Oryctolagus cuniculus: one gene and its partners. The protein of the gene in region 3 purifies or fractionates together with the protein of the main gene of each other region. This does not show direct contact. Links are inferred from orthologs where the notes say so. Each region holds a gene or a part of one and is shown on either strand. Other genes may lie near its edges. The genes, in order: MAP3K7, AKT1, MAPK8IP1, MAP2K7 and MAPK9.

Region 1 (5,958 bases), on a different chromosome or scaffold from region 3:
CCAAGCTTTGGAAGCAGGTCTAAAATAAACTCTTTAATCTGGGTACCTTCATGAAAAATGATGCACCTGGAAACTCAAATTGCAGTCAATCATATGAAATGAAGGAATTAAAATGCAAATGGGAACATCATTCACTGCTTCTTGATTATAATTTCATTGGAATAGAGACCAAAAAAAGTCAGGTTATTAGTCTTCCTATCTATCCATTTACCTGTACTGGTGGCAGAATTACTCTGTCCTTCATCTGAATACTGACAAGGATACTGCAATGGCTCATCTGCTCCTGGGAAGTACTATATATAAAAAAGTAAAGGACAATTTAAAATTTCTTTACTACAGACCAATTCCTGTTAAAATTACCTGAAGAGTACACCTGAATTACTTCCCTCTAATGCGACTTGACTATACCAAATATGCTGTTTTATCTTCCCTAAAACAAATACTAAATTTGTAGAGGTCTAAGTTTTTGATTTTGGTAAGATGATGGTGACATACTCCCTTTTGAGTTTCAATTATGATGAATGCTATGCACCTGCCTAAGCGTCTTATTTACATGGAGTTTAGACAGTCTTGATGGAAACACCAAATATTTCTCTAGAGAAGGGGTAGGAAATCTTTTCTCTGCCAAGGGCCATTTGGATATTTATAACATCATTCACAGGCCATACAACTTAAAAATTAGCCTGCTATAGATTTATTGAATTTTGAGATCTGCCTGTGGTTGCCTTGGCAGGGTTACCAAATTATTTTGTGGGCCTTAGATGGTGCACAGAAGGCATGTTCCCCACCCCTGCAGAGGAATATATGAAACAGAACACTATCATGGCTATAATGATCTGAAATACATCTATGTTCTCGTGGCAATGATGTAAACTTCTAAACTGTTGCAATGATTATTGGCCTGACAAAGGAGACTGGTATACCATAGCATAATAATTAATACTAAATATTCTAAATAATTTAAGTATTGAGAGAATAGATATTGGATGTCCTTCTCTGAGGTAGAGACATAACACTGAACATATCTGCTAGACAAAAAAGCTTAAGGCACTCTTCTGAAATTAGACAAAGCACATATATACATAGTTAAAATCTGAACAATTTCTATATCTGAAACTTCTGTTATTTTAATCAGAGACTAAGTTGTTTCCTTATGCACAAAATCTTTATTTAGCACCTTGGGTTCTATATATAGCTGGTATCCTAGTATGATGGCAAAGTTTAACCAAATTAGTTCAAGCTGCTTTTCCTACATTATTCTCAATAGAATGAACAAATGAAACCTTTGGGATGGTGCCATGGCTCACTAGGCTAATCCTCTGCCTGCGGTGCCGGCATCGCAGGTTCTAGTCCCGGTCAGAGCGCCGGATTCTGTCCCGGTTGCTCCTCTTCCAGTCCAGCTCTCTGCTGTGGCTGGGGAGTGCAGTGGAGGATGACCCAGGTCCTTGGGCCCTGCACCCGCATGGGAGACCAGGAGGAAGCACCTGGCTCCTGGCTTCGGATCGGTGCAGCGTGCCGGCCGTAGTGGCCATTTTGGGGGGTGGACCAACAGAAAAGGAAGACCTTTCTCTCTGTCTCTCTCTCTCACTGTCTAACTCTGCCTGTCAAAAAAAAAAAAAAAAAGTAATCTCTGGGTATTAATTAAGGAAATCACTTGGTCTATATTTAAGGAAATTGCAAGGTTGTTCTACTGATCAAATTGCTCTGAATTTCAGGTACTTTCATTTTAAAGTAACATTTTAAAGCAAACATTCTATTTGGTTGTTTTCTTAGTCTACCAAAATCTAGAAGTCTAAACTATTTCAAATGATTCTAATGTATTTGATTTGTAGACTAGGAAAATTAAAATATTCTATAAATCCTAGAAGAAAGGTTAACTTAAAAAATTTTTTTTAGCTATAAAAACCTTTTCAGGTTTTCATATACAACAAAAATACAAATAGTAAAACATAATCACTCAAATGTATTTGGGAATGCAACCTCTCCCTCTACTGTCCTGTATAACTAAATAAATGACTGACTAATACTGAATGTCTGATGATATATATCAGAAAATTTTAAATTTCCTTCATTGGGTGTGAAAGTCATAATATACCCAAGTCCTGCGAAGGCTTAACAGATCATCTAATTCAGCTTCTCTCACATTACAGATGAGACAACGGAAACACATGTCCACTAATGTAAGCAGTATGAAAAGGTATAACCAGAAACCTAGCCTAAACATCTTCCCATTACAAGGAACTAGACTACTCCCCCTTCATACTCCAAATGGGTCTTCTGATTATATGAGTAATGAAAACCCAAAAATAGAAAGAAGAAAATGGTTACAATGTCTCCTTTACTCTAAGCCCTACTCAAACTCAGTATACATTAAATTTCCCTAAATTCAAAGCCCCTCAAAAGAAGGATTATACCCGCATCAAGTGAGTCATTATTTTCACAATTTCCTCCATGGAAGGGCGCTGAGAAGGGTCTTTAGACCAACAACGAGTCATCAGGCTCTCAATGGGCTTAGGTAAATTTTTGATCAGTGGTGGTCGAGTACCTATAATTAAAAATGAGAGAAGGAGGGAAAGCAATGTATTTACCCAAAGAATGGAGCAAGTTCTTTATTTGTATTCCCAAAGCAGTGTTTATTTTATAGATTTTGTAATTTAAAAACTATATTTTGGAGTAAAAAAAGGACTTATTTTTGTCCTATAAGTTAACATTTATTTTATGTATATTTTCCTAAAGGGAAAACATCTTTAAAAAAGTTAAATTAAAACTTGTACATCGGGGCCAGTGCTGTGACTCAGTAGGTTAAGCCTCCGCCTGCAGCACCAGCATCCAATATGGGTGTTGGTTCTAGTCCTGGCTGCTCCTCTTCCAATCCAGCTCTCTGCTGTGGTCTGGGAAAGCAGTAGAAGATGGCCAAGTCCTTGGCCCCTGAACCCACGTGGGAGACCAGGAAGAAGCTCCTGGCTCCTGGCTTCAGATGGCTGCAGTTGTGGCCGTTGCAGCCAATTAGGGAGAGAACCAGTGGATGGAAGACCATGCTCTCTGTCTCTCTCTTTCTCACTGTCTATAACTCTCTCAAATAAATAAATAAAATCTTTAAAAAAAAAAAAACTTGTACAATATAGAACAGTAAGATTGAGAAGTAACAATATTTGTTATGCTCTTTTAACAACAACAACAACAAAAAATGGCGTAATGTGTGAGATCTGGATGGAGTTCCTGGTTCCTGGCTTCAGCCTGGCCTAGCCCCAGCTATTGCAGCTATGTGGGGAGTGAACCAGTGGATGGAAGATCTCAATCTTTCTCCCTTTCTGTCATTCTTTGAAATAAACAAATCAATAAATCTTTAAAAGAAAATTCAAATGGTGGTTTGAAGAAACATTACCTAAATTTCAAAAATTTCAAAATGTGTTTGAAAACTTATCTTTTATATCAAAAAGTTGGTCAACTACAGTAGTATACTTGCTGACTTCCAAATGACTCTTTTGAGACCTTATGGTTGCTGTGAATCAATCATTTCAAGGCTCAAAATTCCAACTTTTTGTCCTACACCTGTGTAAAATTATTAGTAAGGTCCCACTTAACATAGGCCTCAAATACGAAGTTTTGGTAATTTTATGAAGTAACAAGTTAGTTCTTCTACTCCTTATTTCATTGCCATTCAATCATTCACTGCCAGCTGACAGAGAGAACAAACTGTCTTGGTCAATGATCTAGCATTCCCTACCATGACCCTGACAGCAGTAACACTGCAAGTGGTACAGAAAACTGATAAAAACAGCTAAAATTGTTCTGATGATCTTCTATGAATGACCTGAATAGTTAGGCAGACATTTGTGTTTATTACTTACGGAACAGTAAATATAAATGTTACAAATCAAAATGATTACATTCGAATGAAAGAAATGAAGAACAAGGCTAATGCTTACTAAGGTTAAGTAACTGTCCTTCATGAAGAGTTTATTTTCCCAAAGCAAATGTGGAATAACTATTAATGAAGAGGATCATGCTAACATCATATGGGGTTAGAAATAAATACCTAAGTGCTTAGAAATATCATTACTAGAGATATGCAGGAATAAGAATAGTGAGTCCCTCAGTCAATATGTCTGAAAAATACAGCAACTGAGTCAGAAAGATCTAGATTTGCATCCCATCTCTGCCACTTACTAATCCTGAGACCATGGCGAGTTATTTGTGTCTCTTTTTCCTGTAAAATGAGACAACCGAATTTACCTCCTCAGGCTGTGTGAGACTATAGAGAGAGGGTATGTAAAGCATTCTGTTTTGCTTTCATGAGCTTAACCAACAACTCTTATCATTATTTGTTGCTTTTTCTCCTTACTGAGACTCTGCTTCCTCAGGAGAAAAAGGCTGTAACTTTCCAATTATCTGAACTACATTAGATTTTATTTATGTATTTAATTTTTCAGAGAGCCTAGTATGATCCTTCTCTATGCTCAAGAGAGACAGAGATTTGGCACTGGTTGTGTTCTGATGGCCTTTCTCTAATATGCACAAGTAGCACATTCTCAGCCCTGTATGGAGGCCAGGGAAATCCCCAAATCTGCCCTACTAGACTCAGGGGCTGGGGATTGATAATAGAAATATAGTTTGATAACAAAGAATTTTAGTTTTTAAGGTTAGGGATAATTTTTTTCCTTATTTTGGGAGAGGGGATGGAGATAAGACAGAAACAATCTTCCAAATATGAAATACAAAGTACATTAAAAAAATTTCTTTTTACGAACCATTATGAACAGCCCACATGATTCGGAAAGCCGGCCCACCAATTTCATCAAAAGGTTTCCGACGTGTTATCACTTCCCAAAGGATAATGCCCCAGCTGAAGACGTCACATTTTTCACTGTAATTGCTACCTAGAAAAAGAAGGCAATATAATCTCAAGACTCTCTTCCACACGATATACAGAAACAACTGCGTTCATAAATCTTCAAGAATCTTGGATATGAGGAGGCTGTCACAGGTAGAAATGACTTTCTAAAGCAACTTAAGTCTTTTCAATGAATACCTTTTTTTTTTGCATTTATCATCTACCTTTTATCACAAGGTATAGCTCTTATCTTTCATATATTCAGAGTGACACTTTCTCTGTGTATTCTTTTCTAGAAATTTTTAATCTTAAAATTTTTCCCCATTCTCTGCTATCAAAACAAAGCAGGAGAAATCTATAACTTACTGGCTTTTCCCCTTAACAATAAAATTCTGAATAAAATAAAATTCTGTATGAAAATTATGGCTAACAAATTTATGGTAAACAGATTATACAGCAACATTCATTATTAAATCCCTAGGTGAATCAGCTTAATAAACAGTTCAAAAAACAAACAAAAAGTGACAACCATAAAACAAACCAAAAAAACCTCCCAACCCCCATAAGAATAAGCAATTATTATAGTAACAATCTTGCTTGCTCAATAGCACACTGTAATGCAGCAATACAACAAGATTAATCTACCATGGACAAGTGCTTCCAGATAACATCTTTCAAAAATGAAATTTACATAGTATAATAGTCTCAGTTTTGTTGCTGAGATAATCAATGGTGCTATGGTTTGAATATTTATTCCCTTGACCTCAGGAGTTTAGTCTCCAAAGCCTAAAGTTACTAAGAGGATGGAAACTATATCCAATCATGGTGTTTAAAAGTAGAGCCTTAGTGAAGTGATTAGATTAGATGAGGTCTTAGGGTTGAGCCCTCATCACTGAATGTGGTACCTTCGTAAGAGACACATAAACACATCCATAAACATATGTGCTTGCTATCTCTTGTCATCTGATGTCCTGGCCATCTCACAATTCTGCCAGCAAAAATGCCATCATTAGATGGCAAAACAAAGCCTCAGTTATTTTACTACAGTGTCAAAAATTGAATAATATGAAAAGTAATTATTATTCTTTTGAATAAACCAATCTTTCTGCTTTCCTTACTACAGT
Region 2 (5,958 bases), on a different chromosome or scaffold from region 3:
GGGTGCATGGTGGGCCCCAGTGGGGGGTAGGGGTGAGGCCTTGGGCTGGGCAGGGCCACCACCTGCCCCAGGTGTGGCCCCACCTTGGGAGGCAGAGATCCCGCCTCGGTGCCCCTGGGGAGGCGGCCCTCGGGGCAGCTGCTGGCCGGTGAGGACCCGTGTCTGAGGGAGGCCACTCCGTGCCGCTGCTCGGACCCCATCTCTCTGCTTGCTTGGGGCTGTCTGTACTCTTGGCCCGGATCCAGGCCAGGAGGTATCCCCTGGGGATGTTCCGGAAGCCCCCAGCACGGCCAGGGCAGCAGCCCCTCCCCAGGAACGGACAGACGGGGTCAGCTGGTCGTCCGGCAGACCTGGGCTCACTCCCCTGGCCGGCCTGACCAGGTCGGGTCCCCCTTGTGGGAAGGCTCGGCTGGGCCGTCCCTCTTGTCACAAGCCAACGAGTGGCCTGGGCTGGGCCGTGCTGGCTTCAGGCTGCAGCGAGGCCAGCGCACGTCAGACACGGAGGGTCGTGGGCAGGTGAGCAGGAAGCCTGCCCCAGGGAGGAGATGGGAGCCACGGAGCGGGCAGCCCAGGGGCCTCACCCGGAGGGTGATGGGACACGCCGGGCCACCAGAGGTTCAGTGACGGATGAGGCTGAGGTGGGGTGGGCGTCCAGGCGAGGGTAGAGGAGCCCACAGCCCCCGGCACCTCCACAAGGTGGTGCCCGGCTGTGTCCTCTCCTGCGTCCGAGTGTCCTCTGGTCAACTCCACCCGCCTTGCCTGCCTGGTAGGGGGGCTTCCTGGGAGGGTGGGACAGGCCCGAGGCTGGCAGAGAGGTGGGCCTGGCGGTGCCAGCCCCTGCCGGGCCGGAGTGGCACTGCTCACCCTCCCCTGAGGACCTGGGCCGGGAACGCAGCGCTGGGCAGCTGGGCAGCTCCCCGAGGGCTGGTGGCCTTGGTCAGACTGGCCCGGTGCCTGCTGCGGTGAGGGGCACAGGGACCCCCGCAGGCAGTGGTGGCCACCAGCAGGCCCTCTGCTCAATGTGCCGGAGAAGGTGAAGGCGCGGCAGCTGTCGGCAGGATGGATGTGCTGGCGGCGGGGGACCGCAGGCCTGCTGGGGCTCACTTCGCTGTGGAGAGACAGCCCGGTGCTGCCTGGCACCCTGCCAGCCTGCACCCGCCGCCGCGCAAAGTGCCAGCCCAGCAGTTTGCTGGGGACCGGGAGCGTCCAGAGGATGTGCGTGGAGGTGGGGACGCGGCTCCAGCCCGTCAGAGCCGGGCAGCGTGGACCCCGAGACTGCCCCCGGCCACGTCGGTACTGGCTGTGAGCTCGCACAGGCTGGGCCTTGCGCAGGCCCATCCTGTCCCCAAGCATTGTGTGGTGTCCCCGAGGCCAGAGCTGACCCAGGCCGGGTCGCAGGAAGCTAGCTAACCCTGTCACCCTGCTAAGGGCAGCCATCCCCTTCTCCCTGTCCCGGGCATGGTGGCCTGGAGCCTGGACAGGACCTGGGGCTCCGTGCAGCACCTCAGGGGCCACCACTGTGCTCCCAGCCCAGGGCTGGGTTCCAGGCTGTCCTGCAGGTGGGCCGGCCAGCAGTGGGGCGGGAGCGGGTCCCACCCGGGCATCTGCACCTCCTGATGGCAGCGCCTGGCTGGACCTGCCTAGAGGGCAGCTGAGCCTGCTGGAGAGGCCCTGGGTGGAGCCTGGCACCGCCACAGGTCTGAAGGGGGGGGGGGGCGCTGAGGAGACCCTGCGCTGGGCGCCAGTCGCTCCCTGCCAGAGGCCCAGGCCCCTCTGGACCTCGGGGTGGGCAGGTGCCAGTCTGCAGGTGTGCAGTGGCCTCTGCCCCCACCCTGGCGGGGCCGGGGGTCTCAGGTCCCACGTTGCTTTGGCTGAACTTAAGACGAGGGCTGTAGCCCAGGCACGGCGAGCACTGTGGGTCCCCATGGGCCTGCCTGGCCGGACGCAGAGGCAGAGGTGTCCCTCGGCCTGCTCCTGGCCCCCGTGGAGGGGTCTGTGTGCTGAGGGCAGCCCCCTCACCGACACTGGGGGTGGGGGCCCTGTGTGTGCCGTGTGGCGCAGGACCGAGATGGATTTCTGGGGCGCGCGCGGGTGCTCATCAGTCTCCCCGCTCGCTCAGCGTCCTGGGGAGCGGCAGCTGGTGGGATGGCAGGCACTCCATCAGGGGCCGACAGCTCCAGACTGGCGTGCAGGCGGGTGGGCACGGCGCCGGGCGGCCCGGGACGGGGGGGCTGTGCAGCCCCCAGAGCCCGCTCCGCTCGCCCCCTGGAGCCCCTGCCTGCCCCCACCTGCCCAGAGGGGGTGCCTGTGGTGGGCTGGAGCCTCTTCCCTGAGGGTCGCCCTTTGCTCCTGCCAGAGGCCCCGGTGGCCCCAGCCTGGCGGGGCGGGGTGGGGGCTGCCTCCAGGCTCTCCCAGGGGGGTCCTGGGTGGGGAGGGCGGCTGGCCCCAGGACCCTGCATACAACCCCTCCCAGCTGTGGGGGGCACCCTCATGAGGGGGCAGAACCTTGTCCTTCCCCCAAAGCAGCCCCCGCCGCACCTGAGCGACCGCCCCCTGCATTGTGGGGTGGGGCCTGTTAGCTGGCCTGCCCCCCTGGGCATCGGGGTGTGGCCTTACTCCACTGCTCTGGTCCTGCTGGTGGGCTGGCTGGAATCAGGCCCACCCCAGTCCAGGCACAGTAAGCACCCAGGGGTGCTTGGGGGGGCCTCTTAGAGCCCTGGGCTGTGAGGGGGGTGGCTGGGGTGCAGGTCCCAGCCCAGCCCGGGGCTTCCGGGTCCCATCTGCAAGTGTGTCCAGGACCAGGGTGCAGAGTGGCAGCTGCCGGGCACCTGGGGAGGGAGGGCCACTGCCCTGAGTGCCTTGCCCAGGGGACGCCTGCCGACCCGTGTCCTCTGAGCTCCTCTGGGGGTGGCCTGTCCCTGTGTCGTCCCCAGCTCTCAGCCCACAGTGAAGCAGCTGCCTAATTAGCAACTTCCCTGTCGTTCAGACTCTGTGCTCGGCAAAATGTAAATGAGGCGTTTTCTCGGGTGTCAGTGTGAAAAATGGCGCAGCGCGGCTCCACGGAGCATCTGCCGTGTCCCCGAGCGCCGCGGTACTGGGGGAGTCGGCCCCCGCGCCTGGACCAGGGGCTGTCCCAGGGTGGGCGGCAGCTCTGCCCTCGGCCCCAGGACTGTGCTGCTGGCCCTTCCTTGCCAGTGCCAGGCTCTGTCCTCTTGGCTGGAGGCCGGCTCAGGCCAGCAGCCACACCCTGGAGCCTGGGTGCCCGGCCAGTGCCTGAGCTGGGCACCAGCTGACCTACTGCCTCCCCCTCCAGGAAGGCCAGGTAGGTGGGCCCAGGCCTCCTCCCCGTGTCCCAGGTGTGCAGGTGGGCCTGGCCCCTTTCCGGCGCAGCGAGCCTGCCTTCCCGTCCCCCACCCTCTGCCTGGCGTAGCTGGCCAGCGACCTGGACAGGGGCCCTCACCGCCTGTGTCCTCACAGGGGAGTACATCAAGACCTGGCGGCCACGCTACTTCCTCCTCAAGACTGATGGCACCTTCATCGGCTACAAGGAGCGGCCACAGGACGTGGAGCAGCGCGAGTCCCCACTCAACAACTTCTCTGTGGCACGTAAGTGTCCCCTCGGCCACTCCGGGTTGGACGTGGGGCGGTGCCTGGAGTGGTCCGTGCCCTGTGGGACTGGGGGCCAGCCCTGGCTGGCGGGGGCCTGGGCCAAGCTGCATGGCTGTCCTGTGGAGCTGTTCCCTGAGCCTCCTGCCCAGAGGGGACAGCTCGGGCTATAGGGAGCCTCCAGGCTCTCCCAGGGGGGTCCTGGGTGGGGAGGGCTGCTGGCCCTAGGACCCTGCATACAACCCCTCCCAGCTGTGGGGGGCACCCTCAAAGCTGGCCAGTGCCACTTTTTCCCCTGCCTGGCTCCCCAGTTGTCCCTCCCACGATGCTGGCTGGGGCCGGGCAGGTCCACTGCCACTTTCTACCACCTGGCAGCCCAGCTCTGCCCTGGGGCTGGCCTGGGGCAGCTGGGGGCGATGGGCCTGCCAGCCGTGGGCCTCTGGGTTCTGCCCCTCCCTCTCCTTGGCCAGCACCCTGGGGTCCTCTGGCCCCTGGCCTTCAAGGGCCACCCAGGTTCTGGTTTGGGGGCTGCAGGGAGGTCTGGCACAGGTGGCTCGACCTGGGCGTCGCCCTGCCTGTGGGCATCTGCGTGGGGATGGGCTGCGGCACTGGCTGCTGGGTCATCCCTCCCGGGGCCCACTCTGTGCTAGAGGAGGGGCCTGGCCGTGGGGATTCCCGTGAGCCCCAAATGCCACCCTCCCCGGCCTCAGGCCCAGCTTCCTGGGCCGGAGGCCACCAAGGAGGCGCAGGCCAGTTCCCTGGAAGCCTTGCTATGCCCGCTGTGGGGGTGAGGCAGGAGGGGCCTCTGCAGAGGAGCCCATGGGGGCAGCGCCAGCCGGGGGCAGGGGGCGCTGCCTGGCCAGGGCGAGAGCCAGCGTGTGTGTGCGGAGGGCCTGTGTCCAGGGGCTCTGCCTTGTGGGAGGACCGAGTGAGCTTCCTGCCCGCACAGACACAGGCCGCCTCCCACCAGGCTGGGCCCCGGGCCCCCACGCAGCCCCTCGCCCGGCAGACCTGGCCCTCGTGGTTGCCAGGGTGCTGGTGCTGGAATGCACACGCTCCCCGGCTGTGGGCGTGCGTGCTACAGGCACACGTGTGGCAGGCGTGCGTGTTCCAGGGGCGTGTACTGTAGGTGTGCGTGTTCCAGGCGCGTGTACTGTAGATGTGCATGTTCTAGGCGTGTGTACTGTAGGTGTGCGTGTTCCAGGGGCGTGTACTGTAGGTGTGCGTGTTCCAGGCGCGTGTACTGTAGGTGTGCATGTTCTAGGCGTGTGTACTGTAGGTGTGCGTGTTCCAGGCGTGTGTACTGGACTTCCGGTCAGGGTCTCCCAGCGACAACTCGGGGGCCGAGGAGATGGAGGTGTCCCTGGCGTGCATGTTCCAGGCGTGTGTACTATAGGTGTGTGTGTGTGTTCCAGGCGTGTGTACTATAGGTGTGTGTGTGTGTTCCAGGCGTGTGTACTGTAGGTGTGTGTGTGTGTTCCAGGCGTGTGTACTGTAGGCGTGTGTGCTCCAGGCGTGCTGCAGCTGTGGCTGTGGCAACAGCAGGGCGTTCTCGCCCCTCCTTGGGCCTGGGCACCCCTTGCCCTCCAAGGCCTTGGAAGGTGACAGTGACCTGCCTCGCCCCAGCCCCAGCCTTGTGGGCAGGGGAAGAAGTGGCACCTGGCCAGCTTGGAGGGGATGTGCGCAGGGGCCTGGGCCGGCAGCCTCCCTGTAGCCTGAGCTGGAGGAGGGCCCTGGGTAGTCTGGGGCTCAGACGCTTAGGGAGGGACCGTGGCGGGGGCTCACTCCCCCCGAGCAGAATGTTCAAACTGGAGTGGGGCGGGAAACAGCCTGGAGGAGGGGAGTGGGGCCTCCTGGGGCCAGCGGGGGCAGGAGCTGATGGGCACCCCCGGCCCTGCCCCCAGAATGCCAGCTGATGAAGACGGAGCGGCCGCGGCCCAACACCTTCATCATCCGCTGCCTGCAGTGGACCACGGTCATCGAGCGCACCTTCCACGTGGAGACCCCCGAGGAGCGGTACGCACACTGCTGGCCCGGGGAAGCTGGGGCACAGCCCCGCTGCGTGCCCCCGGCAGCTGTGACCGCTGGCCCCCCGACCCCTGCAGGGAGGAGTGGACGACTGCCATCCAGACGGTGGCCGACGGGCTCAAGAAGCAGGAGGAGGACACGATGGACTTCCGGTCAGGGTCTCCCAGTGACAACTCGGGGGCCGAGGAGATGGAGGTGTCCCTGGCCAAGCCCAAGCATCGTGTGGTGAGGCTCCGGCTCTTCCCGGTGCCCCGGGCCAGCGGCGGTGGGCAGGCGCCGCTGACCCCGCTGACCCGCCTGCGCACCCCGCAGACCATGAACGAG
Region 3 (5,958 bases):
CTTAGCCTGGGCACGGAGGAAGCAAGAGTTGAGCCCAAGCACACAGGGTGGAGGCACAGCCTCTCCTGGAGTGGACGCCAGATTCCCATTCACTCATTCTCAGGGCTCACGGTCATGGGCACTCTGGGCTGGGGGCGTGGAGCACTCCTGTGAGCCTGCTGCACCCCTGCCGACCCCTTGGGTCTCCGTACTCCTTACCCCTTGGATTGCGTGGGGACCTTCCTACCCCAGGTGGCCTTGGCCTTCTCTGCAGGTGCCCTTGTCTTGGCACCTGCCTTGACCCTGGCAGAGCTGAGGCTCTGACCTCTGGGCCTTCTAGGCACCACCTGGGGGTTGGCAGCAGGTGCACAGCTCCCAGCCGGGAGGAGCAGGAGTGACCCGGAGCCTCCCACCCCACAGCTGCCCTAGAGGACTGCCTTTGGGCATGTCCCTACTTGGTGACCGCCTCCCACATGGGAGCAGCTGGACCCCGGGTCCCACCCTCCGGAGCCGACGATCGGCCTGTTTGTTAGAGGCTGCCCTTTGGCAGGCCTGGCCGACCCTCTGGGTTGTAACTCTGGCTTCCTGTCCCCCCCAGGCTCACCCACGACATCAGCCTCGAGGAGTTTGAGGATGAAGACCTCTCAGAGATCACTGACGAGTGTGGCATCAGCCTGCAGTGCAAAGACACCCTGTCCTTCCGGGTAAGGGCGGGCTCCTGGCTCCCCGGAGACCCCGAGTAGGGCGGCAGATGGGTGGGGATGGGAGGGAGGCCCCCAGGCTACAAAGGGGGCTTTCAGGTCCGGTGGCACCCTCATGAAACGGTGTGCAGGCAACACCCAGTGCAGCGCTTGGCACGTCTTGGGTGCGCAGTCAGAATTTGATTTTTCTGCCCCAGGGGCTCAGGCAGGAAGCCGGAGGCCTTGAGATCCAGGAGTGGGGCAGGAGGGCCAGAGTCCCTTGGGGAGCCGTTCCTGGCCGGGAGCCTCAGGCAGAGCAAGGGTGGAGTCTGGGACTCTGCAGTGCTTTGGGGACAGGACAGAGGCGCCAGGAATGACCCGGAAGAACTCCTATGGCTGCTGGCTGCCAGTGCGCCGTACCACGCCGAGGCCCTCACGGAGGGCGTGGCCCAGCATTGCTGATGCTTTGGGCCCTTTGGGCCTGGCACAGGGAAGATGGCTGTCTCCCGGCGCGGCCAGGAGGCACTCAACAGCCTCGGTCTTGCAGAGCAGGAAGAAGGAGCCAGGTAGCCCGCAGGACGAGGGCCAAGCTCGGGGCTGGGTTTGAGAGCCCTGCACTTCCTTCCGCCCCCAGGAGGGCGGGAAGCCAGATGTGGTATTGGGGTGGGGGGCTGCCATGAGGGTCGCGGGAGAGGCACCAGTCTCTGTGCAGACCTCTTGCTACCCGCGGAGGTTCTGTAAGCTCTTCCAGGCAAGAGACAAGGGGTGAGGAATCCTCCAGTCCTTACTGCAACCCTCTAGCCTGTGGCCAAGTCAGGAAGGAAGGGACACAGAGACCACTTACTGTGGACCTGGGGAGGGGTCCCAGGGCCCTGACGAAGCTTCCCTCCGAGGCCATGCACCTGTCTGGAGTCTCACGCCACCCTCTCCCCACCATGCACCGTCAGGGCCTTGGAGAGGGCGGGCCCTGCATTTAGCTGGGGCCCCGGGGGAGCACTGGCTGTGGGACGGGGGCGGTGGCCTTAGATGCGCCCCAGGGGCTCTCAGACACGCTTGCCAGGAATGGAAGGGTCAGGGGATCTGTCCAAGGTGCCAGGCAGGCAGTGGCAGAGCTGGAACTGGGAGGGGCTGTCCCCTAGGAAGGCAGGGCTAGCTTGCCCATGGAGAGGCCTGGGCCCCTGGGGTCCGACCGCCCCTGTCCCCCGCCTCGGCGACCCTCTTCCGGCGCTCCCAGGGACTCCAGTCCGCAGTACGGCCCTCCTCTCCTGGCCAGAGACTCGGTTTTCCCAGGGTCCCTCCTAGACTTCTTCAGATACAAATGTGCGCCCCCTTCTCCCCAATCTCTTGCGGGGGCCCAGCTCCTCGGGCGACCCCACGTCTCCATGGCAACAGCGGTGACTTCATTCTGGGAGCTGCTTACAGCCCGGGTGAGGTCATCGGCCGTTGCCAAGGGAACGGGAGGGTGCAAGGAGCCGGAAGGGGGGTCCGCGGGGAGGGGAGAGGGTGGTGTTCTGCAAAGGGGGCGATCGGGCGGGGAGGGGCGGCCGTGCGCTTCCCGCAGGGGCGGCCCGGAGCCCCCTCTCTTCCCTGCCGCTGCTCTCCGCCCCCCGCTTCGTGGCCGCGCAATGGATTCGTCCGGGCAGGGGGCGGTGCGCGGCGGCCTCGGCCCCGCCCCACCCGGCGCGGCCCCGCCCCCTGACGCCCCTCCGTCCGCGCCGCGCAGCCCCCGCGCGCCGGGCTGCTCTCTGCGGGCGGCGGCGGCAGCGCGGGGAGCCGGCTGCAGGCCGAGATGCTGCAGATGGATCTGATCGACGCGACCGGGGACACTCCCGGCGCCGAGGACGACGAGGAGGACGACGAAGAGCGCGCGGCGCGGCGTCCGGGAGCGGGGCCGCCCGAGGCCGAGCCCGGTCAGGGACCGGCGTCCCGCGGCCAGGGCCAGAGCCAGGGCCCAGGCAGCGGGGACACATACCGCCCCAAGCGGCCCACCACGCTCAACCTCTTCCCGCAGGTGCCGCGGTCTCAGGTGAGGCGCGGGGGGCGGGGCTGAGGGGGCGGCGCCCCGGGGCGGGGCCGGCTCCTGGGAGGTGGGCGCCGGGGGACGGGTGGAGGTCCCTGGAGAGGGCGAAGGAGCGCAGGGATTGACGGGGCCCGGGGAGGGGTTGGAGTAGGGAGCACAGGGCTTGGAGCGGTGGCAGAGGTGTGGAGTTTGGGACCCTCAGGGTCTGGGGTCCCTGGTGAAGGTGGGGCAGAAACGGCGTGGGGAGAGGGGAGAGGGAAGTGGTCCGCTTGGGCGAGGGCCTGGGAAGTTGTGGGGGAGGTGGGGCCTGGGAGCTGGCGTCTGAAGTGTGGGCAGCCTGGACTTCCCAGAGGCAGGGGGGAGGCCTGTGGGATGGCGCTGCTCAGCTGAGCTGGGGGCCTGGGGCCCCTGGGCTGCTGGCCGGAAGCCAAGGAGAGTTGAATAGGGTGGGGAGCGCTGGCCAGGCCCTTTGTCTCCCGGGTCCAGTCAGGAGAGGTAAGGAGGGGACCCAGGGAGGGGGAGCTGCCAGGGGATGGGCGGGGGCTGCAGAGAAACGGGGTCCCTCTCCCTGGATCCTCTGGTAGCCCAGCTCGTGGTGTAAGGTGCGAAGGAGACTTGTATGTGGGCGTTGTGGGGGCCGGGCTGGGGAGGTGCTGCGGATGTGGGCAAGCAGCCGGGAGATCCGGGAAGGGGTCTGCTGCCAGCCATGCCTGTCGCCCCCGCGGGCTGGGCCCCTGGTCTGGGGGCCAGGGGAGACAGTGCCCCGGAGCCATCTGAGTGTCACCGCAGGCTCCCAGGGTACCTCACTGCTTTCTACCCAGGCTGGGCCAGACCGGCCCTGCCCCTTCCAGGATGGGAGTCACGCTGCCCCCCCACTGCCCTGGGCATCTCACGTGGGGGTCCTGAGTCTGCTGCAGACTCCCCCTCCTCACCCCCCACCCCGCAGCCAACCAGCACCACCTTTGCCCAGGCTGACACTTCCCTGGCCACCCCTCACCCCTGCTGCCTGCTGCAGGGCAGGGTGGGGGCAGCGAGCAGCCTGGGGGGGCCCTGTGGGGGCAGGGCCAGGGCCTCCCTGTGCCGGGCACTGCTGACCGCCTCTCTCACAAGGGCCCTTTGTTCGCTGCCCAGGACACACTGAATAATAACTCTCTCGGGAAAAAGCACAGCTGGCAGGAGCGCGTGTCCCGCTCGTCCTCACCCCTGAAGACAGGTGAGGCAGACCCCCCCACACCTGGGCCTCAGCCCGCCCCGAGTCGCCCCTGCAGGGCCCCCACCTTGCCCATGGGGGTCCACCAAGGCCTGGGCTGCGGACCCAGAGCCTGCCCGGGGCCCTGGTGCATGGAGCAGGGACCGGGGTGGGGGGCCCAGGTGAAGGCAGCCCGGCTCAGCACTGCCCCCCCACCTCCACCCTGCCCTGCAGGAGAGCAGACGCCCCCCCATGACCACATCTGCCTGAGCGACGAGCTGCCCCCCCAGGGCAGCCCCGCGCCCACCAAGGACCGAGGCACCTCCACCGACAGCCCTTGTCGCCGCAGCGCTGCCACCCAGATGGCCCCTGCTGGCGCCCCCCCCACGGCCGCCCCTGGGGGCCGGGGCCACTCCCATCGAGAGCGCATCCACTACCAGGCCGACGTGCGGCTGGAGGCCACGGAGGAGATCTACCTGACCCCGGTGCAGAGGCCCCCAGACCCCGCGGAGCCCAGCGCCGGCTTCCTGCCGCCGGCCGAGAGCCGCATGTCGGTCAGCTCCGACCCAGACCCCGCCGCCTACCCCTCCACCCTGGGCCGGCCACACCCCTCCATCAGCGAAGAGGACGAGGGCTTCGACTGCCTGTCCTCCCCGGAGCGGGCCGGGCCGCCGGCGGGAGGCTGGCGGGCGAGCCTGGGGGAGCCGCCGCCGCCGCCGCCGCGGGCCTCGCTGAGCTCGGACACCAGCGCCCTGTCCTACGACTCGGTCAAGTACACGCTGGTGGTGGACGAGCACGCCCAGCTGGAGCTGGTGAGCCTGCGGCCGTGCTTCGGCGACTACAGCGACGAGAGCGACTCCGCCACCGTCTACGACAACTGCGCCTCGGCCTCGTCGCCCTACGAGTCGGCCATCGGCGAGGAGTACGAGGAGGCGCCCCGGCCGCGGCCCCCGGCCTGCCTCTCGGAGGACTCCAGCCCCGAGGAGGACGTCCACTTCTCCAAGAAGTTCCTGAACGTCTTCATGAGCGGCCGCTCCCGCTCCTCCAGTGAGTCGACCTGGCCGGGGCTCTCCCCCTGCCCCTCCCCTGGAGCTGGGGCCACATCCTCCTGCCCCTGCCCCTGCCCCTCCCCCGGAGCTGGGGCCACATCCTCCCGCCCCCTGCCCCCCCCAGCTGGGGCCACATCCTCCCACCCCCTGCCCCTCCCCCGGAGCTGGGGCCACATCCTCCCGCCCCCTGCCCCCCCCCAGCTGGGGCCACATCCTCCCACCCCCTGCCCCTCCCCCGGAGCTGGGGCCACATCCTCCCACCCCCTGCCCCTCCCCCGGAGCTGGGGCCACATCCTCCCGCCCCCTGCCCCTCCCCCGGAGCTGGGGCCACATCCTCCCGCCCCCTGCCCCTCCTCAGGTGCAGAGTCTTTCGGGCTGTTCTCCTGTGTCATCAACGGGGTGGAGCAGGAGCAGACGCACCGGGCCATATTCAGGTGAGCACCCTCAGCCCGGGGCAAGGCTTCGTCCACTCTGCCCTGGGCCCCTGTGTTCAACCTCTGGGCATGCAGAGCAGGGTGGCAAAGGGCCGTGGTGCGTGGGAGCCCGAGGCTGCGCCTACACACACAGAAGCCACCCTGCGCCCGCCCAAGCCTCCCGCAGACCGAAGGGCCCGGGTACCCTGGCCTATCCGCCTCTGCAGGGCTCCGCCCATGTCCTGCCCTTGATGGCGGGCGCCTGATGGACGCTGCCCCCTGCCCCCCGGCTGGCGTCGGGCCGGCACCCGCGCTGCTTTGCAGGTGTTGGCTGAGCTAAGGACACGGTCCTGGGGAGGGCCCGGCCGGGAGGCCCCGCTGAGGAGTTCTGCCCGGCCAGGTTTGTGCCGCGGCACGAAGACGAGCTGGAGCTGGAGGTGGACGACCCCCTGCTGGTGGAGCTGCAGGCCGAGGACTACTGGTACGAGGCCTACAACATGCGCACCGGCGCCCGGGGCGTCTTCCCCGCCTACTACGCCATCGAGGTCACCAAGGAGCCCGAGCACATGGCAGGTAGCGTTGCGCCTCCTGGCTGCCCTGTGCTCCAGCTCTCGGCAGGCTGTCGCGA
Region 4 (5,632 bases), on a different chromosome or scaffold from region 3:
TCTCTGTTGGTTTCCACCCATCTCTGCAGTTCGGTGCCTCGAGCCTCCCACCCCACCCCTGCTCCTTGTTATGATTTGATTTCTTTTCTTTTGGACAAATCGGTCATTTCTGTTGTGATTTATCGTGGTGTTGTTTTTTTTTCTTCCTTTTCCCCCCATCCAGTTATTGTGATCACTCTAAGCCCTGCTCCTGCCCCGTCCCAACGAGCAGGTACCAGCCTTTTTATCATCGCCGCTTGGACATCTGCACCATCAACCTAACCGCTGCCCGGCTGCAGAATGCCACCCCGTCCCCCTGTGCTGTGTGTGTCCCCGTCTCCTCCTCTCGCGCGCTCTCACTCCACACGGGCGGCCGGCGGCACCCGGCCCTGGCTCTGCGCCTCCCACCTGCCCTCTGCCATTCTCCCTGGGCTCGGGCTCGGGCCCCCTAGAGAAGGCAGTGTGCCGCCTGACGGCACGGGAGCCCATCACCCGCGAGGGCCTGTGTGTGTGTGTGTGTGAGAGAGAGAGAGAGAGAGAGAGAGAGAGAAAGCTGGGCCAGGCAGGCACACACCTCACGAGGCAAGAGGGGGCCCAGTCAGATGCACGTTAGATCCAGCTCGACCATTGGAGCAGCTCCTGTCTCGTCCGCCTGCCTGCCCTGGGCGGCCGTACCTGCTCTGGTCACGGAGGGCACAGCGCTGCACTGACGGGACAGTGCGGCTGCACAGGGCTCTCCTGGTGGGCAGTGAGCTCACTCCCAGCAGGGGAGAAGGTGCTAGCGGGGTGAGGGACTGCACAGGGGCCGGTCAGGGAAGGCTCTGGGGGATGAGGAGTTTGAGCAGGAAACTGAACAGCCTCGCTCAGCCCCTGCACAGGTGCGGGTGTGTTTAGGAGCAGATGGGCCAGTTCTGTGTGCTGTACCGCGCGCGTGTGTGTGTGTGAGAGAGAGAGAGAGAGATCGGGGGCGCTGACACTGTCCGCGTGTGGGCGTGTGTGCCATGCTTGTGTGGCCACGCGGAGGAGACAGGCTGGCTCTGTCCCTGTCTGCATGTGTGTGGGGCGTGTGTGCTTGCGCCTGTGTGGGTGCATGTAGGGCGGGCAGCCGGTCTGTCCATGGCTCTTGTCAACAGGTGTGCCCCCCCCCCCGCATGGCCTCCCACTCTCATTCATTCATTCACTCTCCCTCCCTCCCTCCCTCCCTCCCTCTCCCGTGCCCCGCCCCACTCTCACTCCACCCTCCTGACCTGCTGTGTGGCCATTCCCATCTCTGTGACCTCTCTTCGTAGGGCCTTTGTGTGGCTCCCGCACACCCACACACATTCACTCCCCTGCCCCCTCAGTGGCCCTCAGAGCCCCACTGTGCTCCGGGTTGTGGGGCCAGCAGTCTTCCCTGAGCTTTGGGCAGCCCTCCAAGGGCACCACACACACGGGGAGGCTGGGGCTATGGCGTCTCCCCCGCAGGAGCCCGCGGTGCAGGCAGAAAGGGGCTTGGGCAGCCCCCCGGGCAGGGGGAGAGCGGGCAGGCTCTGAGGAGGAGGGGACCCTCAGGAGCGGGGAGGGCTTGGGCTGTGATGAGGGTGGTGGGAGTGGGCAGGGGAGGTGAGGCCTGCAGGCCAGTTGAGAGCACAGGGCCTGGCCTGGTCCCCAGCTCCCTGGAGCCCTGTGTCCGGCAGACCCTGGTGGGACTGAGCGGTCTTCTCAGCCGACAGGTGGGCGTCCTGTGGCTGGCTGTGATGGGGACCAGGTCAGCGGGCCAGGAGAGGGCCTGGCTGCCAGCACCCCTGCCATGTGGCTCTGCTCCTTGGTCCGTGGGCCCCAGTCTGCAGGAGCTAGCAGGATGGGGGGGGGGGCGAGGCAGGAAGTGAGGGGCTATCTGCTGAGGCTGGGGGAGAGCCAGGCACCCTTGGGAGGCGGGGCCTTGGAGGCCTGGAAGCAGTGCCCTGAGGGGTCAGCGGGTCAGGGCTGCACTGCTCTCCTGGCCCCTGCTGTTCCCCCCAGCTGTTAGCCAGCACAGGGAGACCCCGAGCTCCACAGGGACCTGCTCTGTTCTGGCCCCCGGTCTTGGTTCCTGTCTGTCTGTCTGTCTCCTGCCCTCCCACCTCCTAACGCCAGGTGCCCGCTGCCTGCCCGCTGCCCGCCCCGCCCCCTGCCTGTAGCATGCCCGAGCTGTCCGCATGCAGGCTGCTGGAAAGACCCCAACCTATGCCTGGCCCACTCTCCCACCCCATCCTGCCGGCCTCTGGAGGGCCCGTGCCACCCGGATCCCCTCACCCCAGGACGCAGGCACGGCCGGGGTCCTGCCCCCAGCCCCTCCCCCAGTGGCCCTGGTTGTGCCCTTGATCAGCCTGCTGGCCTGAGAGTGGGGCAGGGCAGCTGAGCTCTCCCCAGGGGTCTGCCTTGCTCTTGTGGGGCTGCCAGGTCCAGGCTTGTCAGCAGCGTAGGGTCCAGGTGGCTCCTGGCAGACATCCGGTCCTTGTGTGGTCAGAGTGCAGGTGCAGTGGCCCTGGGCCTGCCCTGTAGGCGGAGGCCGGAACAGAGGGCCCCCATCAGCCCCCTCATTGCACTGTCGTCATAGACTTTGGGACAAACCCTCAGCCTCCCCTGCCCTCTCCTGCCAGCCTGCTCTTCCCAGGTGTGGGGGCTAGGAGAAGGCCCCCCAAGGATCCCCCCGGGGATAGGGAGGGAGGACCCTGCTCCCCCAGCCAGCAGAGCAGGGACTGGACTGGCCTGGCTGAGGCACACAGGGAAGGGAAGGTGAGAGTCCCCACCCCTTCATCCCGGGGTACCTGACCTCACCCCTGTGCACCCCTGGTTCTCACCCCTCAGCCCTGCAGCTTCCACTGGCCAATGATGGGGGCAGCCGCTCGCCGTCCTCAGAGAGCTCCCCGCAGCACCCCACGCCCCCCGCCCGGCCCCGCCACATGCTGGGGCTGCCGCCCACCCTGTTCACCCCACGCAGTATGGAGAGGTGAGCCGTGGGGGGGGGGCCGGCTCGGGGTGGGGGTGCCAGCTGACTTCAGGTGGGGCAGGACCTCCCCTCACCGGCACCACTCCCTGTTCCCCCAGCATTGAGATTGACCAGAAGCTGCAGGAGATCATGAAGCAGACGGGCTACCTGACCATCGGGGGCCAGGTACTGCCCTGCACCTGCGCCTGTGCCCGGGCCTCCAGGAGGGGGTGGGGGGGCAGGACCCCACTGGGCTGAAGGGAGCAGAGGCCCCCGACCTCCAGCCCTCACTTCCCTCACCAGCGCTACCAGGCGGAAATCAATGACCTGGAGAACCTGGGCGAGATGGGCAGCGGCACCTGCGGCCAGGTGTGGAAGATGCGCTTCCGGAAGACCGGCCACGTCATCGCCGTCAAGGTGAGCGGGCGCCCCTGGCCTGGGCGCGGCCCCAGCGCTGCGCGCTGCGGTGCTGAGGCTCGGTCCCTCCCATCTGGCAGCAAATGCGGCGCTCGGGGAACAAGGAGGAGAACAAGCGCATCCTCATGGACCTGGACGTCGTGCTCAAGAGCCACGACTGCCCCTACATCGTGCAGTGCTTCGGCACCTTCATCACCAACGTGAGCCGCCCCGCCCGCCTGCCCCGCCCCCAGCCCTGCGGGTGGGCTGGCTGACCAGTGCCTGCTTCCCTCCCCCGCAGACGGATGTCTTCATCGCCATGGAGCTCATGGGCACCTGTGCCGAGAAGCTCAAGAAGCGGATGCAGGGCCCCATCCCGGAGCGCATCCTGGGCAAGATGACGGTGGCGGTGAGCCGACAGCGGGCTGGCCCGCCGGTGGGGAGGGCGGCGGCCCCAGGCCCTGCAGCCCTCACAGGCCCCTGCGTGCCCCTGCCGCAGATCGTGAAGGCGCTGTACTACCTGAAGGAGAAGCACGGCGTGATCCACCGCGACGTCAAGCCCTCCAACATCCTGCTGGACGAGCGGGGCCAGATCAAGCTCTGCGACTTCGGCATCAGCGGCCGCCTGGTGGACTCCAAGGCCAAAACGCGGAGTGCCGGCTGCGCCGCCTACATGGCTGTGAGTGGGGTTCACGGGGGTGGGGGGCGGGGGGCCGGGAGAGGCCAGCCCCGCCCCAGGGGTTCATCTTGCCCCTCCCTGCCTGCAGCCTGAGCGCATCGACCCCCCGGACCCCACTAAGCCCGACTACGACATCCGGGCGGACGTGTGGAGCCTGGGCATCTCCTTGGTGAGCGCAGCCCTACCTCCCTCCCCCAGGGCCAGACCTCCTGGGGACGCGGTGGGCGGGTGCATGGGAGCCCAGCCCCTCCCACCCAGCCTCTCGTGCCCCCGCAGGTGGAGCTGGCCACGGGGCAGTTTCCCTACAAGAACTGCAAGACAGACTTCGAGGTCCTCACCAAAGTCTTGCAGGAGGAGCCCCCACTCCTGCCGGGCCACATGGGCTTCTCGGGGGACTTCCAGTCCTTCGTCAAAGACTGGTGAGGACCCTGCGCGGGGGCGGGAGGGCACGCCCTGATATGGGCGGGGAGCAGCTGCTGGGGAGGCCCAGGCTGGAGCTGGGGCCCTGGGTGCGGCAGACTGGGTTTAGATCCTGCCAAAGCTGGCCCCTTGGACGTCTGGCAAGGTGACCCTGCAGGAGGCTGCCAAGCAACCCCAGGCCACGCCCATCCTCCCTGGGGAGCTCCGCCCACCCTGCTGTGGAGCATCATGCCTGTCACACTGTGCTGGGCCAGGGCACTTCAGGGACGCGCTGCTGGCCAGGTCCCAGCCTCTGGACAGACTGGAAGGACCCCCACTCACAGCGGGAGCTGAGCCAGGAGGAGCCAGGCCCCCTCTGGGCTCTCACCTGCCTCCTCCCCCCTCTCCCTGCAGCCTTACTAAAGACCACAGGAAGAGACCAAAGTATAATAAGCTACTTGTAAGTACCCGACCCCTGGCAGCCCTCCCCTGCCGTTCCGCAAGCCGCCTCGTGCCCTGTGGGGAAGGCCCTGTCCTAAACCCTGCCCCTCGCACCTGCAGGAACACAGCTTCATCAAGCGCTACGAGACACTTGAGGTGGACGTGGCGTCCTGGTTCAAGGACGTCATGGCGAAGACTGAGTCGCCGCGGACTAGCGGAGTCCTGAGCCAGCACCACCTGCCCTTCTTCAGGTAGCCGCGTGGCAGCGGCTAGCCCCCAGGGGCCAGGGGCATGGCCACCGGCCCCCCTCCCCACCCGGCCACCCAGCTGCCTGCCAGGGGAGACCTGGGACCTGGACGGCCGCGAGGGCTGAGGACAGACAGTGGGGGGCGCTCGCCCACCCCCTCGCTCCCTGCCCACCAGCCGTGGACAGACAGGCCCACCAGCCCCCAACCCCTCCCGCTCCGGGCCGTGCCGTCCGCCGACAGACACTGTGAACGGAAGACAGCAGGCCGCGAGCAGACTCGCTATTTATTCAGTCGTAACCTCCGGCTGGGGCCCCGCACCCCCCAGGGCGAGGCACCCCCTCCGCCCCTCCCCACGCACCTGCTCCTCCGCGCCTCCTCCCGCCGCCTCCCTCTCTACCTCTCTGCCCCCAGGACTTCCCGCTGCCTCCCGCCCTGCCTCTGTCCTGGCCCAGGACGGCCCTGTGGGTGTTGTGACTGCAGCCGCCCCCGGGCTGGCTTCTGCCCCCCTTTCTCTCTCTCTCTCTCTCTCTCTCTGTCTCT
Region 5 (5,958 bases), on a different chromosome or scaffold from region 3:
CAGGAAGAGACTGTATCCTTCACGGGAGGGGCCTGAAAGCGTGGTGTGCACACACACTTCTTGTTTCTGCTTTTCTGTTTCTGTTTTTGTTTTTTTAAGCCGTAAAGTATTGGAATCTTTGGCAGTAAAATCCCAGATTGCTGCAAACTGAAGGCTAAAATAGAGGTCAGCAATCATTCATATTGTGTGAAAAGTTCACCCTTAGCTAGCAGTTTATCTCCTGTATCTGTGTGTTTAGTGCACTGTTAGAACTCCTCTTCCTCACCTTTGTTTTGTTCATGGCACGTCATAATTTTATCATTTCATTTTATTTTCAGTTGATATCTGGTCAGTGGGTTGCATCATGGGAGAGCTGGTGAAAGGTTGTGTGATTTTCCAAGGCACTGACCGTATCCTTCCCGGGACCTTGACCCCGGCCATGCTTTCCATAAATGCCACAGGCAGCATGATCTCACCTGCTTGCACGAATGCTCCAAAGGAAAACAGCGTCCTCCACACTGTGTTCTAAAGGGGTCTTTATTGTGTCTGTTAAATTAGTGTCACAAAGCAAGTGGTCTTTTTTACTTGACTACCTATGATGATTTTGTTTAGATTTAGAGTCGCGTTAAGCTCTTAATTTTATTTAAAAAAAAAACTGGAAATTTATGCAGAATAAGTTATTCACTGTTTGATAAATGCATTCAGACATTTAAATGAAAATGATGTTTTATTTAGTTCATTCTATTAACTAGAAAAGGTGCTGTCTAAATTTAATGGGCTAAAATGTTTGCATGATTTTAATTAAAGACTATTTAGTTAGTTGTCAGTATGTATTAATAAGGTTCTCCCCCAGTGTAAGAACTGAAGTTTACTACCGAAGACCAGAGTGAAAAAGTTTAAAATAGGAATTTGGGGAGAAACAATATCTTAAGTTTACTTGTTTGTTACTCTGTTAATAGAAATTTTAGTTGCGACACACTAGGGAAGTTAAGTAAATATTAAATGCAAAGATGACCCGTCCTGTGGTCAGCAGTCAGGTTCCTGATGAGCAGACAGGAGGCTGACCACACAGTAGCCGTGAGAGCCCTTCCTTCTTATCCCGTGATCCTCCCATCTCCAGCATTCTCTACCCCAGCATGCGTCTTCCCACTTGTGTTCTGACCACTTCATCTTTCTGTTGGTGTTGATTTTGTGTTTTGCTCTGAAAGGTAATAGTGGCCCCTGCCAGCCGATGCTGGCTGCTCTGAAAGGAAATCAGGCTCTGTAGTTAGTGATTTGTGTGTATTTTATGAAAGTAATTTTCGTTTTTTATAATTTTACAAGGATAGTTTTCTTATGAATTATTCACAACACAAACCTAAAATGAAAAAAATCCTATATTCCTATCATTTTATTTATTTATTTATTTTTATTTTCCACATCGTAATCACAGATTATATAATATGTGAAGATAAATATAGCATTTTATCTTGTTCTTACAAATTTCAAGCACTTTTCCATACCTTTACCTCAAATTCATTTGTTTCAAACTATAAGTATTTTGCAATAAAATTGAGTAAATTCAACTAAAAAGGGAGAACTTATGGTAGTCTAATAATTAAAAACTGAACATAGTTTGTCTCAATTCTTACTCATGCCTTTCTTTTAGTAATTAAGAAATATTTTCTTCAATAAGTACAAAAATGAAAAATGTGGGTACATTTTGGTATACTCTAGTAATTTGAAATTTCTACTTTATATTTAATATAATGTCAGTAATTCATGCTTTTATCTATAGTGTTACCTAATGTTGTTCTCACACCTTACATAGAGATCCACACTATTTTCTAAGGGAAATTTCGCCAGCTTTTTCAAATATTGCATTGAGATTTTGAGGGATTAAGAAAGGTTCTGGAAACCAGACTGAGATTCTCAGAGATCCACTTCAGATTTGCAACCAGAGCAGAAAACTCCTGTGCCCTCCTCGCCCACTGTGGCCTATGAGAAAGAGAAAGTGTTAGCCAAGCCACCTTCAGCCCCAATTTGGGCTCTTCCCCATGGCAGCTGTGCACATCCTTGAGCAATCCTGCTCAGAACCTTGGTTTTCCTTTTGTAAGATGGGAGACTTGCCATATGCCCCTTAGGATCTTGGGCGTTAAACAACAGTGTCTGCACATGCCCAGAAGTCCCCCAGGCTGGTCAGGTTCTGCTCCAGGGCCCTCGGGTTCTGTAAAAATGACTCTTTATCCAGCAGGTGTTTATTCGGCCAGGTTCCTGATCTGACGTAGGTTTTGAAAGGCTCATTCCGGAGAGGAAGGCTGGACGCAGGAGACCCGTGGGAATGGTGGAGGCCACACCATGCTGGTTGGCCTGCAGGTGGGGAGATGGTCAGCACTTCAGAGCCAAGTTAGGAGATGTCTGTTAGTAGAAAAACCCAGTGAGGAGTTCAGGAGATAGTCTGAAATAAAGAGAGGAGGGGACCATCAATCCGACAGTAGCACTGAAGCCTCAAGGCTGGCAGTGAGTGCCTGCAGAGAGGAGAAAGAAGGGCCAAGGATGAACAAGCTAAGGCCTAAGAATTGACCATTGGATGGGGTGCTGGCCACTGGCAACCCTGATGGGCACAGGTTTCCTGGAGTAGGGGAAAGCCTGGGAAGAATGTGTTAAAACAGAGTGAGAGGCTGGGAATTAGAGACACAGGAAAAGACAACTCTTGAGAGAGTGTAGGAATAAAGAATGGAGTGATAGGTAGCAGATGAGAACCAATAACAGTGTGTCTTCAAGTAGGCTGAAGATGGGGGGCAGGGCAGAGGCCCAGATAGCTCCCCAGTGGTAGATGCTGCGTAGGTGTGGGGAGGGGCAGCTGGGCGCCCGAGGTGCTTCTGGGAAAGAGGAGAGAAGGAAAGCTGTGAAGTAGCTGTCACATTCTGGTCAAATAGGACAGTAAAAGGTAGGCATGCCTCTCACGTGGTAATGTGTGTGAAACAGGCATGCAGGAGGAGATCCCGCAGGCATGCGGATGCCTGGGACCCGTTACAAGTGTGATGCTCAGGAGCGTGGAGTTGGTGTGCCGGAGCCCCGCCTGGGCTGCTCCACAGCGCTGTGGGCTCGTTGTCTGAGACAGGCCCTGTCACTTTGTAAGCCACTCTGTCCGTGCTTTGCTCGGGCTGGCTTCCTCTGGTTCAGTTTGCGGTTTCAGTATCACTTTCCATGGTTACCATTCCAGCCGTCCTAAGCTTCACAGGCACCCTGGGAAAGGGGCATGGCTGCTGTCACCCGCGCCGTCCAAATCAGGAAGCTGACCCCTGGGAAGATGGACTTGGGAGTGTTTAGTGCACAGCTGAGTCTGAAACCAGGTCACGTGCTTTGAAAGGAAGCAGATGCCCATGGTGTTGGGCTGTGTCAGGGCCAAGCTCTCTGGTTGCCCTGGCTCTTTCTCAGCCAGGTACAGACATGGCTGGGTCCTGCCCTGCCCCTCCCCCTGCTACCTGGGGCCAGGCCCATGGCAGGGCTTTGAGTCCCTAGCTGTAAGCTGAGGACAGCAGAGAAGTTCTCTCCACAGGTCTCTCAAGTTCTCCACTTTAATGAGCCGGGATCTCTTTATCTAAGGGAACTTTAGGAAACTGATTTCAGTGTCAAGTGATGGCTATCTGATTCCGTGTTTAATCATTGCCGCCTTGGGTGCTCTTAGTTGTAAGTTAATTTTGGACAAGAATGGAAAGGTAGATAGCCTTCCTTGTGCTGATTTAATAAACTATGATGATAAGATGCAGAGTGTAAGAGTTTTTAAAATAATCTAAGCTAGAAACAGAAACCTTATTTGAACACCATTTCCAGTGCTTCTGCTGACCCAGTGGGGTAGCCTCATTAATTTCTTGTCATTGAGTATAAATGTAATTTAAGTACTCCCTCAGATGGTGCTACTTAGTGTACTGTGAATGTAAGGCATTTCAGTTGCATTTTCCTCAAGAGACCTCTTAGATATTGATCAGTGGAACAAAGTCATTGAGCAGCTAGGAACACCGTCCGCAGAGTTCATGAAGAAACTTCAGCCAACTGTGAGGAACTATGTGGAAAACAGACCGAAGTACCCTGGAATCAAATTTGAAGAGCTCTTTCCAGATTGGATATTCCCATCAGAATCAGAACGAGACAAAATAAAAAGTAAGATATCCTCTTTCTCTCATACTTATTTTTGAAATCCAGGAAAAGCTTGCTTTTTTTTTTTTTAAATGTGTCCATTCTAAAGCCTGTGAATGTTGGGAGGAGAAATAGTTGAAACCACAGAATACAGTCAGGTGCAGGCCAGACACCTGGTACATGAAAGCACTGTGGGGAGAGGGCTATAGATGCGGAAGTGTTGTCCTCCGTGTTCAGATCAACCTGAGAGGTTCTTAGGCCACAGTCCCAGCAACTGAAATTCAGAATGTCGTTGGATATAAAGAAAGCTGGAGTGAAGATTGCAGAGTCAGAATCCATGCTCGTTGTTCAGTAAAAAGACCTTTCCTGCCCTTCAGTGTCCTTCACTGAAATGTGATTGTTAAGGAAAACGGTCGATTTGTTTTCATCCGCATCGAGCTGCAGCCTTGCTTTGTCTGTACAAGTTGTGAACTTCATTCAGTTGCCAGAATCTAGCTGAGCCTGTGTTTTAGTTATTGAACTTGTTGGTTTTTCCCTAACTACTAATCTCTAAATTTAGGGGAAAAAAAATAAGTGAGTATTGCTAATATTGTATACAGCTAGGCCAAACAGAGGCATCTCTACAGTGTTTTATTTTGTGAGAGTATCAGACTCATGTGTGGTTTTAAAAGACCGTTCTAATTTCATTTTAATGTGACGGGAAAAAAATACTCATGCCCACACCCCTGGCAGTGCCGCCTGAGCTCTTACCCCGCGCCCCGCTCCCTGCCATGTGCTCTCAGCCGCGGGCCCCCTGCAGACACTGGCCCAAGGTGCCTCGGAGCCTCCTACTCCATCTTGGGACACAGATTTCTCCTCCCCTTCCTGGGTCAGAGGAATAAGAACACGTTGGAAAGCCTGGGTTTTTTGTTGTTTTTTGTGAAAGTGGCTGTTTGAGTTTTCCTTAAGGCTTTGGGCTCTGTTGATCTCTAACCTGTCACATCTCTTCAGCATTCATTTATCTTTGTTATGTGTGTGTAGTACACATTTACTTCTTCACTGGGTGTTTTCCTGAGTTCACCAGTCTTTGTTTTCACCCTAGCGAGTCAAGCCAGGGATCTGTTATCAAAAATGTTGGTGATCGACCCCGACAAGCGGATCTCTGTGGACGAGGCTCTGCGCCACCCGTACATCACTGTCTGGTACGATCCTGCCGAGGCAGAGGCGGTGAGTGCTGATGCTGAGAAGGCAGATGCAGGGCTTCCCCCTGGTTGGCCCAGAATGGCCACGCAGGAGCAAACAGGTGCTGGGTTTAAGGCTCCTGACTGCACAAGGGCCAAGCGTTGTTTGAGACCTGGTCAGGAGCAGTTTGGGGCAGTTGCTGCTGGGGCTGCAGCTTAGAGCATGAACAAGCTTACGTGGAGACAACTGTCTTCACTTACACAAATGCCAACACGCGGCACTTGACACCGAGCGTGTGTCCTAAGAAGCCTGTCGTTGGGCAGTGCGCTGTTGCGTGGGCACTAACAAAACCACGGTGTCACCAGGCAACATATTCTATGGGAGCACCGTTGCAGGCGTCGTCGGGTGTTGGCCAAATCTGTCCCTTGTTCTGTGTCCCTTCGGTGCCTGGCCTCAGATTAAGTCCTCTTCCTCAGGCTCCTCCTCAGAGAGGCTGAGTAGTTTGCTGGAGAGCACACTGACCCAGCCCAAGGGCATCCGTGCCTCCCATGGCCACGCTGGGCTGAATGACCTCGAGCTGCCGGTGAACGATGCCCTAGCAGCGTTCTCAGTCCGTGCTGGCAGGTCTGCAGTGTTGGCTTGTGGATTCCAGCACCAACTTCAACATTGTTGGTGTGAAAAGCATCTGACTTAGAAGCA

What was found.
Region 1: the proteins of MAPK8IP1 (region 3) and MAP3K7 purify together in Homo sapiens (pull-down; 3 studies listed by BioGRID and IntAct, with this or other methods). This does not show direct contact. The link is inferred for Oryctolagus cuniculus from reciprocal best matches to the Homo sapiens genes MAPK8IP1 and MAP3K7.
Region 2: the proteins of MAPK8IP1 (region 3) and AKT1 purify together in Homo sapiens (affinity purification with western blotting; 3 studies listed by BioGRID). This does not show direct contact. The link is inferred for Oryctolagus cuniculus from reciprocal best matches to the Homo sapiens genes MAPK8IP1 and AKT1.
Region 4: the proteins of MAPK8IP1 (region 3) and MAP2K7 purify together in Homo sapiens (affinity purification with western blotting; 3 studies listed by BioGRID and IntAct, with this or other methods). This does not show direct contact. The link is inferred for Oryctolagus cuniculus from reciprocal best matches to the Homo sapiens genes MAPK8IP1 and MAP2K7.
Region 5: the proteins of MAPK8IP1 (region 3) and MAPK9 purify together in Homo sapiens (affinity purification with western blotting; 4 studies listed by BioGRID and IntAct, counting the BioPlex papers as one, with this or other methods). This does not show direct contact. The link is inferred for Oryctolagus cuniculus from reciprocal best matches to the Homo sapiens genes MAPK8IP1 and MAPK9.

Annotation. Positions count from the first base shown.
Region 1 is NC_091436.1:81,925,381-81,931,338, reverse strand, and holds part of MAP3K7 (mitogen-activated protein kinase kinase kinase 7), read right to left. Parts: intron 4,881-5,958; coding exon 4,752-4,880; intron 2,546-4,751; coding exon 2,415-2,545; intron 294-2,414; coding exon 212-293; intron 1-211. UniProt on the Homo sapiens protein: Serine/threonine kinase which acts as an essential component of the MAP kinase signal transduction pathway. Plays an important role in the cascades of cellular responses evoked by changes in the environment.
Region 2 is NC_091451.1:46,975,283-46,981,240, reverse strand, and holds part of AKT1 (RAC-alpha serine/threonine-protein kinase), read left to right. Parts: intron 1-3,477; coding exon 3,478-3,606; intron 3,607-5,510; coding exon 5,511-5,622; intron 5,623-5,711; coding exon 5,712-5,859; intron 5,860-5,946; coding exon 5,947-5,958. UniProt on the Homo sapiens protein: AKT1 is one of 3 closely related serine/threonine-protein kinases (AKT1, AKT2 and AKT3) called the AKT kinase, and which regulate many processes including metabolism, proliferation, cell survival, growth and angiogenesis.
Region 3 is NC_091432.1:20,067,665-20,073,622, reverse strand, and holds part of MAPK8IP1 (C-Jun-amino-terminal kinase-interacting protein 1), read left to right. Parts: intron 1-577; coding exon 578-683; intron 684-2,382; coding exon 2,383-2,685; intron 2,686-3,810; coding exon 3,811-3,892; intron 3,893-4,102; coding exon 4,103-4,915; intron 4,916-5,275; coding exon 5,276-5,351; intron 5,352-5,730; coding exon 5,731-5,903; intron 5,904-5,958. UniProt on the Homo sapiens protein: The JNK-interacting protein (JIP) group of scaffold proteins selectively mediates JNK signaling by aggregating specific components of the MAPK cascade to form a functional JNK signaling module. Required for JNK activation in response to excitotoxic stress.
Region 4 is NW_027208201.1:4,113,004-4,118,635, forward strand, and holds part of MAP2K7 (dual specificity mitogen-activated protein kinase kinase 7), read left to right. Parts: intron 1-163; coding exon 164-211; intron 212-2,808; coding exon 2,809-2,950; intron 2,951-3,048; coding exon 3,049-3,115; intron 3,116-3,232; coding exon 3,233-3,346; intron 3,347-3,426; coding exon 3,427-3,546; intron 3,547-3,626; coding exon 3,627-3,734; intron 3,735-3,824; coding exon 3,825-4,004; intron 4,005-4,092; coding exon 4,093-4,173; intron 4,174-4,280; coding exon 4,281-4,423; intron 4,424-4,817; coding exon 4,818-4,863; intron 4,864-4,964; coding exon 4,965-5,099; 3' UTR 5,100-5,632. UniProt on the Homo sapiens protein: Dual specificity protein kinase which acts as an essential component of the MAP kinase signal transduction pathway. Essential component of the stress-activated protein kinase/c-Jun N-terminal kinase (SAP/JNK) signaling pathway.
Region 5 is NC_091437.1:67,259,143-67,265,100, forward strand, and holds part of MAPK9 (mitogen-activated protein kinase 9), read left to right. Parts: coding exon of another isoform or gene 1-12; intron 13-99; exon of another isoform or gene 100-165; intron 166-317; coding exon 318-389; intron 390-3,939; coding exon 3,940-4,122; intron 4,123-5,179; coding exon 5,180-5,304; intron 5,305-5,958. UniProt on the Homo sapiens protein: Serine/threonine-protein kinase involved in various processes such as cell proliferation, differentiation, migration, transformation and programmed cell death.